Linked DNA regions of Struthio camelus. The protein of the gene in region 1 binds, or shares a complex with, the protein of each later gene. Links are inferred from orthologs where the notes say so. Each region holds a gene or a part of one and is shown in the gene's direction. Other genes may lie near its edges.

Region 1 (9,455 bases):
AGCGCAGAGTACAGCACAGCAGCAAAACAGCTTTCTCTCTCACATGTTTCAGTCTATTCAGCATTTGGTACTACCGACCCAAGCAATGAGATCCTATGGGCCATATGTTTGTTACAGGTTGGGCTAAATCTCCTTAGCTGTAAGAGCAGCTTTTGCTCGGGATGAGGATAAAGAAGCAAGTTATGATGTGTAACGAAAGAACTAAAACGCTGTTTACATCCTCCACAAACACGGGCATGTGTTGTTATACCTTTCCATATCATACAACCAGAAGCATGCGCAGCATTTGAGCAGTGGTGGGAGCACATGAAGGTGGGACTGGGAGGACTGGTGTTCCCATAACCTTATCAGCAATGAATTCCTAATGCATTTCTGTTTAGGAAGACACATGGGCAGACGGCAGACCCAAGTAGCTGGAATGTTTCGCTGCCAACTGTTTTGTGAAGACTCCTGCATCAGAGAGCCGAGGAGCTTTGAAGAAGGAAGCAGCAAGGGAGCACCAGACACAGGCTTAGCGAATGTGGAAAGAGTGGCTCCAAGAGAAAGAGTATGAGGTGTATGTGCTTCTGAGTTGCACCTTGGCTGCAAGACGCTTGGAGCCACGACCGGAGAGCGGCCACTCACCCTCTGATTCCAGCTGTGTTTAGGGAAACAGAATGGGTGCTGTCATGGTAAATAAAGGCAGCTGCATTAAAAATAACCAGCCCCGTGACCCATTTTTTCTGCTAAATTAATCCATTGTCAGAAACCTCCCATTGAGGCTTATTGCCTGGGTCAAAAATTAGTCTAACATCTACAGATGCTTGAATATGGAATTTTTAAAAGCACTCAGCATTAGCCAAATCGGGGTCGGGGGGGAGAGTCAGAGCACTGTCATAGTGTTTTGTCACATGCTTGGACACTGTGGCACAGAAAACTGAGCTGCATATCTTGTAGGTTGCAGTACGGCAGGGTAGCAGAAATACATCCAGTTTATTTCTAAATCAGGCTTTTCTGAATATTGGAAAATCTGTAAATGACCACAGATGCCCTCAACCAACACCTGCCCTCTAAGCCCAATATAAAGTGCAGTATTTGCAAAGGATAAAGATTGTGCATGGTTTTCCACATGAAACACCTTCACAATATGGAAAAATCAGACTTCATCCTGAAGTGTGTTTCAGCAGTTGTTTTCCATCTTCACTAATGACAGCTTCACCTGCGTTAGCCTCTGTTTTTGTGCCTTTTGTCTCCAGTGACAACCAAGGCTCTGGATTTCCTTGCGGTGAGAATATGCTTATGCTTAGCCTTGTTGGTCACATCAGTGGCTTTACTGATTGCACTGTAGGAGTGGCAGATGAAAAAAACAGAATCCACAACGGGGAAAATCTTATTTTCAGATACAAATACATCCAGTTATTTATATCAAGGGTGAACCTATTACCCACTCTAGAGTCCCAAACTCAACTAAAAGCAAATATCTGCTTTCAGGAGTTTTCCCCTACATAGTAATACTTACTGCTTGCATACCAGATAATAAAATAGTTGCATATTTCATCACGTATTTTCAGTCTCTAAAGTCTGGACCTCATGAGTCTGTGGGTTATGCCTAAAAGGGTTGCAGAAGGAGACCAAGAAAAAACACGTTTGTTCATATTATACACTGGTATATACATGGGACTTTTCTCCAGGATCCTCTGCTCTTTGCTGGGAATTTTTTAGGGAACTACAGGTAGAAGGGGTTTGAAGAGATTGGCTGTGTCAGTACTCATCCCTTACTCTGGCGGGTTTAACGCTTGGTCTTTTTAGGGCTTGATCATTATGTGTATGAATAGAGCTGAATAATAATGACCTAGTAGTCTTTAGGGATTCTTGCTGCTGGTGAAAAGCAAGTAAAAATAGTCAGTGTGGCCTCGCACTGAGTGTGGTGTGTCAGGCCTCAAACCTGCTCTCAGGCCTCAGAGACTACATCTGTGCTGCAGTCAGAAACATCACTGAAGTACCAGTAGTAGCAAAGCTAAGATGTGCTGTGTTTGTTGAGGGCTGCACCAGTGGACCTTGTATTTACTCAGGTAGGTTGCCAACACTGGCATGCATGACATTGCATTAAAATGGACATCTGGGCAGGCTGGACTAGTGCTAACTTGGATATATCTACATGAGTAGCCTCCAAACCTCTCCCTGGGACCATTGCCAAAGCAAGTTCGTTCTGTTCCTCTGCAGAGGGAATTTGTTCCCCAGCTGGACACCTTCTTCCGAAAATATCTGGCCTGGTCTGTCCACGTGGATGAAGATCTTGGACTGTCTAGAGAGAAAACATCCCAGCTGGTGATGTGGAGGAAAGGCAATTTTCAAAGTATCCAGCTATCAAATCATGTGATGTTAGAGTTTGAAACTGTCAGACGCCAGCAGAGCACGTGCAAGAAAGAGGGAGAGGAGAGATATGCACAGAAAATGATTGGAATGATCCTGTCCTGCAAACAGTGAAGATCAAATTTTTCCTCATCATGGCGGAGAGTTAACAAGCAATCAATTAACTGAAAGACATTAATCTAAACTATTCAGCACATCCTCAAAAATTCGGACTTTCTTTGTATGACTAAAAATAACTTTGCAAACAATTTGCAAAGGGAAAAAATGGTAACCAGGTAATAGGTAACTCCAGCACACCTTGTAGGAGATGATGCATGCCCTGCAGTTCCTCCCCTCTCTTACCTTTGTAGGCACTGACTTCAGAGATGTATTTCTGCACTGAACTTCATGCACCGATTTCCCTGGAGCTCTTCAGAGAGTTAAGCTAATGCACAAACCTTTGCAGGAACAAAGCTTTAGACTGCAGCGCCTGCAAGCTGGGGTCTGCTTCTCATTATGAGTTGTCTAGGCCGCTGGGACCTCATCTCGGATGAGGCCTGGAGGCATGACTGTAAACAATAACTATAATTAGCTATAAACTGTATGCATTTCAGCTCTGTTAGGAAAACAAACAAACAACAAGCTTATAACTACTTGGAGTAAAAGTTAAAAGAGCATTTTACTTTTATAAGCTCAAGACTGAAAATATCTTTGGAACCAAAGAAAAGTTGGTGTCCCCAGTATTTCAATTCCACTGATTTCACTCAGTACAGTGGCCTGTTGGACTCACCTCCCTTTGCTGTGTCCAGGTACAGAAATGTCTTCTTTCTGTGGTGGGCAAAGATGATCACCAGCTTCCCATATGTATTTTGTCTACTGGCCATTTGACGTGTATCTGCAGAACAAAGTAGCTTCACCTTGGACAAGCATATCCTCTCATTTGTGTTCACATTTATAATGTAAATTTGCATTCCTTCAATTCAGAGTAGCTTAGCTTACTACAAGCTTAATAAAAATTTAGAAAACATAGGAAATGAGAAGTTAGCAGTTGTTTGGCAATCCTAAAAATGAAAAGGCATTAACATTTAACAGCTATTGCTGTCAGTGTCATTTCTAAATGCTTTAATCAGCAAGCATAAAGAGAAAGAGTCATTCCTGGACTTGTACAAGATGGTACAGTTTTGAAGTCCTCGTAACACAACCCGGTTAAAAATCCAGTGATTCTGGGCTCTTTGGTCACCTCTCTCCGTGAAGAGAATTTTACCCTAAAAGACCAAATTGCATTTCTATGAAGCAAATGAACTGGATGTGACTGGACTTAAACAACACAGAAGAAATATTTTAAAGTTCAGCCATAAGTCAGGATTTCTTTGTTCCCTGGTATAATTACTATTGTTTCGTTGTTGTCTTGTTGTTATGTTTTGTGGTTGTTGCTAGCTCCAGAATTCCTGAAACATCTTTAACGTATGTTTGATGAATACCTCTGCCTTTAATTCAAGTTCAGGGGAGCATTTGTCTAGGGATCCTTGCTCCCGGTCATGGTTGCATACCCCCAAAGTATCATGGATATTATTATGCTATACCAAACCACTGAGATTCTTACATATAGTTCTGGCCACCTTTTCTCCATTTGCTCCTCAGAGGAAACACTTCTTAACTATGTACATTCATTGCAAAAATAACTGCTAATAGGAAGTTGAAACTGAGATGTCCAGCAAGTAAAGGAAATTCCAAAGATCTCAAAGTACCTTTCACTGTGATACGTCATGGCTGCACATTCCCTTCCCTCGAACCATGCCTTTTAATGCTTCGGGGAGCAAAACTCACACCTGATACGTCATGTTCCCAGGGCACCATTGTCAGTTAGATTCTCCCTAACCTAATTATTCATCTTTTTCTCTTCTGTTCCTGCAAATGTTGCCCCCAGACTAGCCATTCCACGCCGTTAATGCTGATCGTAAACGTCGTTCATATAAATAGCTACACAGGGAGAACGGGGACTGCAACTGACCTGAAATTTTTTGCAAGAAGATGATACGACACAGACCCCTGTGATAAGAAGGGGCGAGAGTCAAGTTAGTTAGATCCCCTCAAGCCTGATGCCCCGCTAAAGCTCCCTAGAAAATATGACCTTCACTTTAAACAGAGACCTAGTGAATAGTATGATATTTTTGAGGCAATAATGTTGGCATCCACCATTCAATTTAGTTAAAGGAATGCCTCTACCCATGTCAAAATCTCCTGTGCTGTTGCTGATATTAAAATGAAATATTTGTTTTCTTGCAGGGTATAGATGTCACTCCCACTGTGGCTACTCATTTTTCCCTTCCACAGAGCTTATGAGGGGTCTGTTTCCAGGACAAGGCTCTGCTTTTTCGATTTGCTGCAGTGATTCTCAGTACTGGCAACCTCCTTGGCAAAGATGACTGCTTTCAGCTCCCAGATGCCAACCTCTCCTGCTCTAGCAAATGTATCTGTTAAGAAAAGAAATGCAATCAGCAGGGGAACAGGTGGTTTATTGCAGCCAATCATGAAAGGTTATAATAAGACAGAGGGAGTCGGAGAGAGGGAGAGAGGAGAAAAAATGAAAGAGAGAAGGACTAAGCTGAAGGAAAATCCAGTGGCAAAAATTTTTTCCACTGCCGTACTTACACTGTGCTGAAATTATGGCCTGCTGATTTTACTGTATTGGGTTAGGGTATTGTTTTGGAAAAGCATTTGGCCATTGTATTCCTCACTGTTTGCTTAAAAGGAATTCTAAAGGGATTTGCTTTCTCTTGTTTCATGAGCCCCACGGTTTCACACTGACCTAAGTGGATACACACCAGCTGGTCACGTCCATCACCACAGCCAAGTCTGAGAATTCCTGATTATACTTAGATCCCATAGACCCTGCTCAGTCGTTAGCGCAGGAACTTTTTGTTAACACACCATGGTCTAAAATGAAACAGGCAGTGAGCTCCGTACACGTTGCCTGAAGGAGCCGTCTATTTTTCTGGATCAAACATGAAAGATCTCCTGAGCATTCCCTTCGTACAAATCTTCACCCTCGCAGCCCTCAGCTTGGCTGAGAAGCTTCCAAAAGGTTTGTTTAAAGAGTTTTCATCTTTCTCTGTTTTTGCCACTTGGTAAGGAGATTTCACAAGGGAGAGGCATCGTTGGTAACTGTGGGGTGGGCGCTGTTGTAGCATTCCTGAAAACTGCAAAAATGTGCTGCTTTCAGCTTCATCTGTCTAGTGGTCGCTTTGTTGTTTTTAGAAAAAATCAATGAAAATAATCTCATATTTGTGTCTCAGATCGAAGCTTGTTTGCCCAGGAGTAGCATTTAGTCCCATTCTAACGGACAAGGAAGACCTTAGGTCCAGTCTGTGTGGGATGGACACGTCTCTTGTCAAAGGAACGCTACAGGTTTAAAATACTAAAAGTGCACAGTGTTGTGGAATCCACAGCTTTATGATATTCTGCGTGCTTATGTATGCTTACAAATGTATATAGCTTAAAGATGAAGCAATTAGCTTTGATGCCTTTATAGTGGCTATGTATATAAATATTCTTCATATCTACTGCATAGAACATTTAATTATTATATCTACTTCCTCCTTGGTAGGCACACAGGCACACACGCACACAAACAGATGTACACCCCTTCTAGTCAATATAAGAAATGGAAAAAGGTCTATTCAGAAAAGTCTTTGAGGTAGGAAGGGCAGCAGTGATCTTCTGGATTGGCCATAGGGTAACCCTGTGGACAAAAAGGTTCCATCCCATAGCAGTTATCAGGATTCAGTCACAGTACGTCAGAAAATGTACAGCTTCAGGAAAAAAACAGAAAAACTCAAGAAGACCAGTAGTCACCTGTTAGGCCAACATTGCTGCTCTTCCCTTGCTGTATTACAATTGGAAGTTAGGTTGGCCTCAGAAATGAAAACCAAGAACATATCTTCGTAAAAAGCTTTTGAAATCAAATGTTAATTTATTTCAAAGGCAGTATAGTTGGTGATCCATGCTCTTTTTCAAAGCTCTGGTAAAACATGATTGCTGGGACAAGAAAAACAAAGGAATGGGAGTGATTTTTTTCTGGGTGGCGTTGTACAATGAAGAGATACAAACCCTTTCTTGAAACAGAATATTTCTCAAACACTTGAAACATCAACGTGTAGCTGGATTGCCACGTTTCTCAGCAGGGGCTGAATATGCAAATACAGCAAAGTGGTATCCTATAGAGGTTCTGCAGTGTTAGTTGGAAACACGTTTGTGAGCAGTTTTTGACTACAGGAGATGCAATATTGCCAAGTGTCTGTAACATTGCAGTGCAGATCGGCTCTACTTTTGGTTTTGTTTTATTCCCTTGGTTTCTCTCATTTTAAAATTACAAAGCAAAAATCAAAACCAAAATAATCTGTTACTTTCTAGTGGGCCAAAGGTAGAAGAGAGTTTGGTTTTCTCTCAAGAGGTAAGGAACAATTTGGCCCTGTAACTGGCTGTGGGTGATTTTGCAACATCCAGGAACTACAGCAGACATCCAGGAAAATGGCACCTGAGTAGCTTTACAGATGTGTAAACTATTTGATTTTCAATATTATTTAAAGCCACAGCGCAGCCTAAAGTTGTAAGAGACCGTGATGCACGTCGCACAAAGATCTTGGGCTGTCTCTGAAAAAAACAGTAAATATCAGTGTTTTGTTTTGATTTGATTTTCCCAGGTTAAAATCTGGTAATACAGGCTCCATAAGTTTTGATTCCTTTCCTGGGAGAACATCGACTGATACCGGTAGCTGAGCCTTTTTGATGGCTCATTATAAAGAAGCACCATTGCAGCCATTTTGGGGCTGCCTCGCTGTATTATAACAAAATGGCGGTACACTCCCCCACTTACTGTGTCGCATCAACGTACCACGTGTTCTGCGTTTGTGCCCTTTTTCCCTCTCACCATAGCAAAAGGAACGTTTTCTTGACCTTCTCTGCTCTCCCAGCATTTAATTATAGTTCGGGAAAGATAAGGCTATAGGAGAATATTTACAGGATGCATTACTGTTGCTAACGTGATTATTCTTCAAGGCTCCCAGGCTTTCTATGAATATAGGCTTGATTCTGTCCTAAGAGTTGTGTGATTGATTTCAGGGGATGCGACATCAGACCCCCAGTGGACAATGTTGCTAAAGATAATTGTGTCATATGTTGAACTGAAAAGATACCAGGAAACTCTTTAACTGTTCCAAATGAATATATTTACTATACGGACCTGATAGTCCTTGTTTGCCCAAATAATAAAATGCTGCCATCATGCAGCTGGCATGCTGGCTTTTAGTACAAATCCAACTTTATTCTATGTCAGAACAGCCATTCTTATTGTGGCAACACAGTCATAAAACCGGTTGCTTTCAGTTTGGCTTACTATGTGAATTTACATTTCTCAGGGTTAAAAAAAGCACCCTTCAGGGGAGATCAAGGCATATGGACAACAGCAATAAAAACATCATATATAAAATTAGACTGCAAAAAGCTGTTTCGGTCAGACTTACTTCCACCAAAACCCCATAAAATCTGTCATGAAATAGTAACAACCCCTTTGAAGAAGATAGGACAGCCATTAATGGAGCTTATTCTCCAGAGACAGTTTTCACCAGCAGGGAAATTTAGGCTTCATCAAAAACTTCCATTCAGTTCGACTGAGGTGGGATTCATCCCAGGTGCAATATGCACAGACAGTACCTTCTATCTAGTAGTAAATCAAAGCCTGATACGATTTAAAGCAGTGGTCTCAAACAACAGTCCGGACAAAGACATGTGTCATACGTTTGCATATAACCCTTAGTCCTATCTTAGGTATAGTTTTAGGATCTTCTTTTCGTATGAAATAGTAATCACTAACTATGCAATCTGTACTCATATAATACAGAAATGCTATTTACATAGATTTATTTGAATGACATTTCAAAGGCATTGGGCCTTTGTACATAAATCGGATAGCTGAAGTTAAAAGAGTAAGTCAATTTTTGATCTCCCTAGCTTCAGTCCAGCTGAACCGCAATGAGATTCTAGTTTTTACTCCCATATAAATTAAAAAATAAGTAAGGTAAATGCGAAATACTAACCTCAGTAATTGATATTGGAGTATCTTGTTTTGGCCATGTTTTAGGAGAGAGGGGTAAAATTGGTGCTGTTTGTTTACTTTTTGCTAATACTTAAATCTAATTGTACTAAGAAGAGTCAGCAGATATTGTGCAGGCAGGCCTTTTCTGTGAGAAGACACTCAACGTGCCAGATAATGCTAATCAAAACATATCCTGTGATAATTTACGACGGGTAGGGCATTTTGTTCGTACTGTATTGTGAAGGAAAAGGAAGATTCTTACATCCCTTGCACATTTGCAAGGTGATGTTTAAGGAACATGGTATGAAACTAGTTCATCTAGGCACAGCTGTCAATGAAATCCAGTCCAGCAAATATCGTATGTATGTCCCTCACAGCAATATATTAAAAGCCATTCATGTGTCTTTGGCTGCAATGGCTGCAATGCATACCATGTGCAGGGAAAGTAATTCACTAGGAGTACCCTTTGATCCCTTCCATCCACACTTCAGTACTTTACCAGTGTGATGGAAAATGTGTTTCTAAAGATAAATTCAGATAATGTATGATGACAGTTCTGTGATAATAAGCATAAGGTACAGTTATTAGACTTTTAACTGTGGTGGTATTTGGTCAGAGAAGATGAGGAAAAGATCATGTGCACTCGTCAGGCTTTGAATTTGGAAGACCTGAAGGGCCCTTACAAGCCTCCCTTTCAAAAAAATAGTGTTATATTTTAATTCAAAAAAAAAATAGTTGAGGGGAGCCAAACCATATTAGCAACAAAGCAGCTCAAATCTCATGCCTTGTGCACTAATAACAAGACACTATGCCCACTCCAGGGATCAGGGGAGACCCCCCCTTCACTTTTGTGTACCATTTCTTGCAATACCAGCTGATGCCTAATGGTCATAGCAGATGGAGAGCCTCGGCTGTGCCGTCATAGTACAGCACCCATTGCAGTTCATCTGGTGTTAAAAACAAGGGACATGCTGGGATGGTTTGAACCGCTCTGCATGTGAGTCACTCTATGTTGTACCCTTCAGAGAGC
Region 2 (9,841 bases), on another chromosome or scaffold:
GCTTGGAGGGGGAAGGAACCGAGGTTATTATAGTGGACGGATTCTAACAGTGTAGAGTATCAGCCTGTTGGAAACTGTATTTCACGACTCCCACCCTTCATGGAACAACCTCGTCTTCTTACCGCTTTGCAATTCTTCTTGAGTTGTGTCACACTCCAGCTCTGAATGAGGCGACAGAGCTGCTGTGGCGATAGATTAGACTGCTTTTTAAACTAAGGACCAGGCTGTTACTTGGATAAACTTTTGATTGTATCTTTAGTTGGTATCGGTTGCACTCCTTTAGCACTAATTTGGGGAACAGCCAGCACATGTTTAATATTTGGCAGTGGGATTAAGTAAAGAATATAATGTGTACTGTGCGCTGGAGCCCCATAGAGATCATGAGTGTCCCAAGAAAGGTGAAATGGTAGCAGCCAGCAGTGGCTCAGGGTTTCCATGCCAAGATGAGAGCTGGTTGTGGTTATTGGCTCCAAGAGTTCCTACTAGCTAGAGAACTGTGAACTACCTTGCTTGCTCAGTTTTCATTACTTTGCCCAGGAAGTAATACAAGTATTCAGTGTTATAGTTCTGTTCTCACTCCCCGCCCTGGAGAAACAGAGCTGCTCAGGAACAAAGGAGGGAGAAAGAAGGTAAAGAACGAGGGAATGAAGGAGAGAGGAGCTGCACAAAGACAAAAGGTCTAAAGAGAGCTGCAAAGTCTGAGAAACACTGATTTAGAGTCACAGATGTTGCTGCAATACAGTGCTCATGACCTGAAATCATTATTAGTGAATCAATAATTAATTTTTTTCCTTGACAGCAGACTTGTAGTGTGGTCTAAATAGCAATAGCGTAGACCTCTTAATGTCACAACAAATGTAGCTGACCTTTGAATTTTCTTAATGTATGCTCAGGAAATTAATCTATAAACCATGTGATATGTATACAAATATTTCAAGACCAATAAATACCAAGTAGACAATGTGTTCTGCTTGATTATTTTAAAAGATTTTTCTTGGTAACTCTTTTTTTAAATCAGTGAATTGATACAGAAATTGCAATCAGTAGAACTTCTGAGATGTGGAGTAATAAGCAAGGTCCTGAGAAGTAAATTAATCTCAGAGACAAGACTGCATCTGATGTTCCTCATTTGTCAGAGAAATCTCCTAATACAAGGCAACACAATTTTTCTTCCTGCTTTGCTCTCAAAGGAATTTCTTTTTAAATAGAAAATAGATATTTCTCCTTAGTCTCAAACAATTTGGTTTATGATTTCAATGGCATGCTAAATGCTCAGTAGCATCGCATTCAACACATGCCGGTGGGCGCAAGCCATGTAAAATTGCAGCATCACACAGTTCCATGGAAAAGTGTATGTGTGTGTGTATGCAACAGCTCTCTGAACACTTTTGTGATCTCTGAGGGTTTCAATACACTGAGAAACTCTTCAAATATTCTCTGCCTTATGTAATCTATCTATATTACAATTTAAAGTGTTAGCCCTAAGGACTGACTGACTCCCATTGAAACTGAGCCAAGTCATCCATGCTCTTCAGTAAGCATCTGATTCTAAGAGTGTTTCAAAAAGTGTCTTTGGCAAAATCTGGTATTTTGATACCTGTGTTTAATGTGGAATAAAAGAATCCGCCATCGTAATTCAGAATGTTTGCATATGAGATTTGGACTAAAAAAGTGAATATGGAAGCACTAGCCTACTGAAGTTTGATTTTAGAAATTGCTCTTATTGAATTTTTTTTTAATCATACCTGTAACTCCATTTAATGCATGGTTACAAGAAGGTTAAAGTTTTTGCATCAGAAATCTCATTGTAGAAGTCAGAAACATAAGTTATCTTTTCCAGCGAGTCTCCCTTTGGGACTTTCTCTGACTGCTCTTTTTCCAATTATTTTCTGTCAAATTAGATAATCTTTCCTTATTTTTAACACAGGGAGATTCTGGTGGACCTCTGGCCTGTGATAAAAATGAAATCTCTTACCTGTATGGAGTTATCAGCTGGGGAGATGGCTGTGGCAGAGTCGACAGACCTGGAGTATATACGCGAGTGACCAACTATGTAAACTGGATTAACGAGAAGATAGCCCCCCGAAGAAGCACAAGTTGAACACACAAACATGCTACCATTGCAAGCAACGTTCAGCAGTCTTTCAGTTTCACTCAATTGGCGTGAATATTTTATCATAAAATAATATGAAAACTGTCATAGTAATTTTTTGCAATTTCAGAACTGACCCCTGAAAGTAGGCCTAATCCAGCTGATGTTAGTGTCTTTGATCTAGAATTGTAGGGCTGTGGACAGCTCCGTGTACGAGCCTGTCTTTATTTGGCCTAGTGATATACAAACATATCAAGAAAAGTTTACCAAACCCACAACTGTTGATGTCTGCCTGGTGGGGTGCATGAAAAGAGTTATTTGAGTGTTTTCACTCAGTTTCTGGTGGAGGTGTCAGACCTTATAAGCAGCCCATAACAACGTTGTCTTTGTATCCTCAGCTGAGTTTAAGAACATGAAGAAAGGAAAAGGGAGGAGCACCGAGAATGAAATTCCCTTCCCCTTGGAAGCGAGCTCTTAAAGTTCAGGTTGAACGACACCAGCCGAGTGATATAGATCAAGCTGCTCCCCAGCTAACTGCAGCAAACCACTTCTGGGGAAAAAACAGAGGATTTAGGTTGTGATTCAATGAAACATGCTAGAACATTTTTATGTTCCACTGACACAAAATTAGGGCTGTGCTTCAGAGTGCTGCTGAATTTGGTCTGCAATTTTCCAGCACGGTTAATGTAACACCCCCTGAGAGCACAAAGTTTATTACTGAAAAATACTGAAAATCAGTGCACCTGGTTTCAGACGGCTATAGTTAGGACCTTTTGCAGACCCTTATCAGCTGCTCCTCATCCTGAGGACAACAGTGGGAATACTTCACCTTGACAATAAATACTTCTAAATATTTCTTAAATTTGACACTGTTTTAAAGATGTCTTAGATCTTGTTCTGACAAATTGTTTGACTGTTTTGATAATTCAGAAAGGTGGGTTCTGTTCTAGATTTTTAAAATGGATGGCTGGGGTGAAGAGTTTCGTAATGCTTTGCTTGCATGGACCGTGGAATTATTATGGGAACAATCAAAGAAGTTATTACAATATATAGCTGAGGGCTGTGGCTGTGTGCACTGCTCTGTTGGCAAAAAAGGCAGAAACTGCTTTAATATTAAAAGAAAAAAAAGACTCATCTGATAAAGAAGAATGGAAACTTACAACTTTTTAAATACAGGGAATCTTTGGCCATGTCAGTGATGTATATTTGGAAGTGCTGATGTGAAATGTTTTTATTCTCTAATAGTGAACATTTTTGAATTGTCTTAAGTGTTTCAGGCAAAGCTAGTTTTCAGGATATAGAATTTAAAGGTGATGATTGGAGGCTCAGAAACGTATTTTCTGGTAGTACCAGCAGTATCTTCATGGGTCTCTTAGTTGTGGTGAATTATTTCTGTAGCTAAAAGAAACTTTGTAAGGAAAAATAACCAAAAACTGAATTTGTGTAAGGGCAAAGATATAACAATGTTAATCTAGATAAATTATGTAAACTGTTTAATAAAAATGTCTGTGGTCTGTTTCTTGGACTTTGTCTGTGTTGTATATGATTACAATTAAATATATGAATCATTATGTAGGGTTGAGGGCTGGTGAAAAATTAAATAATACTCTTCTGTTCAGGAAAGTGTCTGAAAAGCTCTGCATAAGGATGTATTTCTGCTAGTGGTGTTCCCAGTTTTATGCAAGTGTCGCACAAAATTTCCAGTAGACAGAAAATATGGAGTGGAGAAGCCTGAGTCGCAAAGCTGAGATCTGATTTTCAGTTACAAATACTGTGAATACTAAAAATGAAGGCTTTATTTTTCTGAAGCACTAAACAGGCATTTGAAAAATTGAGATGCAACTCTGGGGTCCTGATGCCAAAACAATCTGAAGACAGGTTGTTTGGGTCTATCTCGTTGGCCATTTGCAGTATGAGGCTGGCTCGGTTAACGCTGTGAAAGGACTTCCACCTTTTACAAGACTTACCGTACCTGCTGATGAAAGACGTGCTCAGTCATCACGAGGGAAGTATTTACTCTCTTTGGGAGTGATTCATTTGGAATAACTTTTGTTGTGCCTTGCTAATAGGTGTCAACCCAAAGCTTATGCCACTCTGCACGGCCGTAGCTGTTCTGTGACTTTGGTTTCATTTTGAAATTAATATCCACCCGCACCAAGTATGCTTTTAATCTAGTGGTTTTGTGTTGTTTATATTCTTCCAGCCTTGCTGCAAAGAGGGTGGCTGTTTGATAGCACACTACTACTAGGTTAGTGGCTCTGACAGCTTCTGTTGCATAGAGCTTTTTAGCTCTCTTGTTCTCAAAACGCATGCTGTTCATACCAGTGTGCTGCAACAGCCATACATCAATAAAATCCTTTTTCAAAATATGTGGAATGTTCACAGATGAAATAGTCCATTTACTGTCTTGAAAGGCCTGTATGACAAATCTGCAGCTGATATTAACTGTCCTATTTTGAAAGCATTAAACTTAATTTGTGGCTTTCAGAATAGCCTCTCTGTCCATTGTTATTGCACTGATTTGGTAGAACTAAACCTCATGACTTGAGGATCTGCTCTTTAGTGAATAGCCCTGTGTTAACCCCTCAGACCCAATCACTAGCCTCCCTAAGCTCTGTGGCTGTAAGCAGGGAAGCAAATTTCCAGGTTAAGCAAGGGGTCCATGCCCTGAGGATATCGTTCCTATGTACTATGTTCCTGGACTCTCTGCCTCCTGCCTTTTCTCTTGAGCATTCCCCGTGGTAATTTTGCCCCCACTTTTTCCTCTCTTTAAGCGCTTATTACTTTGGTTAGAATGAAAATCCAGCATAAATTTACTAGCAAAATTTTGTCTGATGGGAATTTTCCTAACATTTATCTAGAAATTGAATTAGGATGCAAAACCAGTTGAACAAACACACCTGAAATTCATTATGAAACGCACTTAAAGATGGTTTTATTAAATTACATGTTATTGCAGGCAAATTGACCAATTAAAAGGAGAGACATAAACGCAAACATCTAAAAAAAAAAAAAACCCACCCCTTCTATTATACTATTGAAAGACAAATGTACTGTGGTGTTGTTTAAAAAAAGCTGAAGAACTAATTACCATCAAATAAGATGCAGTAGGAGTATTTTTGGAATAATGGACTCTAATTAGGCCATCGCTCATTGAAATAAATCTGAGGACATCATTAGCACATCTTATTCTATTAATTGTAGCAGCTCCGCGTTCTGTGCAAGTGGGCTGTTATCTTGTGACAGTTGCATTACAAAGCAAAAAAAAAAAAGTATTTTTATCTGCGGTAGTTAGCTGAATGTCTTCTGGCAGCCGAGGGGATCGGTAATTACGCTTTCGGAAAGAGGAGTGGGGCGGTACGGCAAAGCCGCTCGTTTAGAGACGCACGGAATGGGGTGTCTCGCCCGCCGGCCCCGGGCCCCGCTCCGGATCCCGCTGCTGGAGGGCGGCGGGGGATCCGGTCCGGGCTTTCGCGCCGGCCCTCGGCCGAGCCGGGGCGCAGGTCGCCCTCGGCGGTCAGCCGCAAAGCCCGGAGCTGGATCGCCGCGGGAGTTGGGGTGGGCGGCGCTCAGCTGCCGAAGGAGCGCCGTCGCGGCGGCCCTGGCGGGGGCCGTCGCTCTCTGGGTGCCCCGTCTCGTGCTATCCGAATCGGAGGAAAAAAAAAACCAGAAAAACAAAACAAGGCAATAAAGTACCACAATAAAACAAAACTCGTCGAGTTTCCTGGGGCCACCTTTCCCCTCCGCGGCCCGGCCCCCGGCCAGTGGGGCGGGGGGCGCCGGGGAGGGCCGCGCCGCGCCGCCCTGGCCGTGCGCCCGCCTCGCTCCCTGTGCCTGTGCGGGGACCTAATAAAGCTATTTTGAAAGTGACCCCTCGGCCAGAGCGCGGGGAGGGAGCAGCGAGCCGGGCGCAGCTGTCCGGAATCATGACTGAAGATGACGGATTCCGTGGTGGTGGAGGGTCACGTCAAGTTGAGAGATGGAAAAAAGGTCCCCGCTCTCGGCGCCCCTTCGGTCCGGTCCCGCTGCGGGCCGCGGCCGGGGGTCCCCGACCGGCTCCCCCCCGTCGCGAGGGGCTGCCGCGGGAGGGGAGAGGGAGCCCGCTCCGGCCCTGGCTAACCCTGTCCTTTTGCCTCTCGTTGCAGTGGAAGAGTAGGTGGCTGGTGCTGCGCAAGCCGTCCCCGGTGGCAGGTAAGAGCGGCGGGGGGGGGCCCAGGCTGTGCCTTCCCCGGCTGTCCCCCTCTCCCCTCCTCCGCCCGGCCAGGGGGAGGCACCATTTGGGGCCCCAGAGAAAGCGAGGCGCCAGCTGAGTTTACACAGCCCTCCTCGAGGTTGGGTGCCGCAGGAGGAGAGCGCCCCGGCCCTCAGCGGGGCTCTCCTCCAGCCATCGCTGCTCTTTCCTCTTTTTTGTTAAAAAAAAAAAAAAAAGGGGGAGGGGGAAGGAGTGTGAAATTATGGGCTCAGTTAGCAAGAGGCCAGGCGGCCAAAAATAGAGGCTACTGAAAGAGCCCCGAAGTGTAACGAACGCAAAGGCGAGGAGGGAGCGCAGGAGAAGCTGCCGGGCTTCATGTTTCCTCCCTCTCGCAGCTCGCGGGGGTCTGGCTGGCGGCCGTTAACGGCTCCTGCCGCAGCGCTTCGCCGCCGGCCTTGGCGCCGCCCCCGCTGTGGTAACCGGCCCCCCAAAATGGCGGGGCGTCCCCCCCCTCCCCTCCGCCAAATGGCGGGGTGCTGCCTCCCCCACCCCCAAAATGCTGGGCATGCCCTGCCTGTGGGAGACTGCTTGTTGCCTGAGTGGAGCCCGGGGGTGGCTTCCCTGGCAGGTTATACGCTATGTACCCCTGCAGCCCCCTCGTAACGCTGCCGCTGGCAGGAGTTTTTCTGGCAACGATGAAACCCGCGCGCTGGTGCCAGGTTATGATGTTTGGAGCGGCCGGAGGAAGCGCTGCCAGCGACTGTAAATTCAGACCTTCAGAATGAAGGTTTTAGTAGCTTCAAGCAATCTGGGCGTTCTGACCAGATATGAAGTAAAACAACTGAAAAACCCACGTTCCAAGGCATGACTATTCGTTTTTGGTTCCTGTTTAAAATGTCAGTTCAGAGTTCTTAAAAAAAAACAAAACAAAACAAAAAAAACAGAAATTTTTTTTCCCCCCCTTAGGGTGGCTGTAAAAAAGTTGACATGTTAAGTTTGGTGGTTATTTTGAATCAGTGTATTGACATGAAATATTTCAGTTTAAAAAGAAAGTGGCATTTTTTGAGTTGAAAACTTAATTTCTGTGTTTTTGAAGGGAAAATTGAAGATTTTATTCAAAGCTGATGTTTTGCTACTGGAGAGGGGAAAAATAGGTTTTAAGAAGCCCATCTTTTTCTAAAGGGGAAAATATTTGGCCCGAGAAGTATGTATTTCCAGGGCTAATTGTTGCCCACGTTTACAAAACGTGAATCCACAGTGCTTTGGGATGGATTATGGAATCATTCTGAGGTTGTTGCTGGCAGACTTGTTGTTTTTGTTAATAAGTGAACCTCAGACCCAACTCCTTGTTACTTGAGTTATTGCAGTTAACTTGTTAGCGTCTTAAATAGTTATTTTAACCTATATCTTGACTGAATTTCTTAAACTTCCCTCCCTGAATGGGCATCTGTTGGTCCTAGTGTTCATATTTAGACATGTGAGTATGGGTCTGGATTTCTAACATGAGGAAACAAAGTTTGAAGGGAGGAAGGGAGGGGAACTTTCTTTGGAAATCTACTGACAGATAATATAGCTTATTTCTCAGAGATACTATTTTTATTATAGCCATTTAAATTAGCCACGTTAGCTAACCCCCAAGGTTTTGCTTATTTGTTCTGTAAATCTTAGTTTTTCTTTCTCCAGACAGGCAGCTGTATTATGGAATCCTTAAATCTCGTGGTTGCAGCTGTTTCTGCTAACAGGTGCAAGAAAACAATTGGGAATGCATGCAGAGTTTTGCTTTAGTTAACAGGCAGTTCAATCCTTCCGTCATTTTTCACCTCTTTGGAGATTTGCCAGCCCTTTTCACAGTAGAGGCCCCTTGCCAGGGTTCAGAGCACACCACCCCAACATTCACTAAATGGAGCACACAGGGCTTTCTCCTTTGCAGTGTGTAAATCAGCTTAAGCAATGGATATTATAACTTCAATATTTACTGTTAATTTCAGTTAGAATTGAGTGCTATATGATAAGAAGGTACCCTGGAGGAAGAGGCTATTGTTATCAAATGCAAAAGGTGAGGGAGTGCTTTTTTTTTTTCTCTCCTTGCCCTTTGCGTTTGATCATGAAATGCCCTTCTTCCGTGTGACTGTGACATTTGGATTACTTTCTTGCATTGCATAGTTACTGGGTAATAACAGCTCCAGGAAGGGGTTAAAAACAAATGGTGGCACAAGCAAATACTAAAAAAAGTAAGTATGGCACATAATGATTATTTAGCAATAGCTACTGTGTAACATTTAACTAGGAAACCTGAGCTGACACTAACAATCTCCCTGGCCATGTAGCCTGCTCACCATTTAGTAGTTGAGTAATCTGTGAACTACTGTGAGAATTTCATATGTGGTTCAATATGTTCTAATGGAAATATAGATGACAATAGTCTCTCAGCTTTAGTGTTTATAATGTGAACAGCTATCATAGAGTAACTGCTAATGTTCAGAATTGATCAGTCAGTTATCTTCCAGATGCAGAAGGCTATCTGGAAAATCACTGGATTTTGGAAAAGTAAAATAATTGGGAAGAGTTTTTACTTGCCTTCTTGTTTCTGACCCTGCAGATTACACTTGAAAAATGCCTTCAATATTTATTCTCTGCATGTGAGGGCTGTGAATTGCTTAGTGGGGGAGGAAACAGAGTTCTTGATCAGACTGACCCTCCAATTGTCAAAAGCACTTTTATTTTGAATCAGAGTACTGAGAATTGTGTTGTGTTCTGTTCTGCCTCATCCTCTCTGACAGTTTTGCTTCTTTTAGATTGTTTGCTCATGCTGGTGTACAAGGATAAATCTGAACGAGCAAAAGGGCATAAGGAGAGGAGCAGCGTGACCTTAGAAGACATCTGTGGCTTGGATCCTGGGCTCCCCTATGAGGGCTTGAATCACACGCTTGCAATCATCTGTCTCTCTCAAGTTGTGATGCTGGGATTTGAGAACAAGGAAACAATGTATGCGTGGGATGTACGAATCCGCTACAGTTTGGGGGAAGGTAACCTTTGTCTTGTCATATTCATTTTTTTTTTTTTGCTTTGAGAAGAAAGCAAAGAAAAGCAGAGCTAAAATGCAAATAATAAAGTACAGTTAAGGAAAAAACTGTCACTCATTTGATGGTGAAGAGTCTGTTCTTTCCTTTGCATCTTAAAGCAGCTGTCTCTTAAGATACGTTTTGAGTATATTACTGCTCAGTACTGGCTGCTAACTGTGAGAGCTTTCAACTTACTTTTTGATTGGGCCACTGAAAGCTTTTAGTGATCCAAGTTCCACTTTTGTCCCTGCAGTTTATTTGGGTTTTTGATGACAGGATTCAGGGTAAGCCTGATTTAAGAGAAGTCGAGTCCTAAATAGAACTCGACTAGTTAAATCCCGGTTTAAGGAACAGCCTACTAGCCTGGAAGGTATTATCTTCGGTAAAATATTTCACTGCTAGTGCTTTCTTTCAGGGTGGGACTTCTCGTAACAAGGAGTGTCATCAGACAGTTTTCCCACCTAATTTCACTCTTATGCACTCCCCCCCACCCCC

What was found.
Region 2: the proteins of MUSK (region 1) and DOK7 are in contact, whole or in part, in a crystal structure (PDB 3ML4), measured with the Mus musculus proteins. The link is inferred for Struthio camelus from reciprocal best matches to the Homo sapiens genes MUSK and DOK7. Residues at the interface, in NP_035074.2 of Mus musculus: Leu547, His548, Pro549, Asn550, Pro551, Met552, Tyr553, Gln554, Arg555; in NP_001335203.1 of Mus musculus: Leu154, Ser155, Asp156, Leu157, Arg158, Arg159, Tyr160, Gly161, Gly172, Thr173, Arg174, Ser193, Asp197, Val200, Arg201.

What each region holds. Positions count from the first base shown.
Region 1 is NC_090982.1:17,587,425-17,596,879, forward strand, and holds the start of MUSK (muscle, skeletal receptor tyrosine-protein kinase), read left to right. Parts: upstream 1-5,337; coding exon 5,338-5,416; intron 5,417-9,455.
Region 2 is NC_090945.1:76,474,681-76,484,521, reverse strand, and holds the start of DOK7 (protein Dok-7), read left to right. Parts: upstream 1-5,855; 5' UTR 5,856-6,028; coding exon 6,029-6,082; intron 6,083-6,237; coding exon 6,238-6,283; intron 6,284-8,019; exon of another isoform or gene 8,020-8,340; intron 8,341-9,079; coding exon 9,080-9,310; intron 9,311-9,841. Other genes in the region: HGFAC (hepatocyte growth factor activator), read left to right, coding at 1,928-2,101. UniProt on the Homo sapiens protein: Probable muscle-intrinsic activator of MUSK that plays an essential role in neuromuscular synaptogenesis. Acts in aneural activation of MUSK and subsequent acetylcholine receptor (AchR) clustering in myotubes. Induces autophosphorylation of MUSK.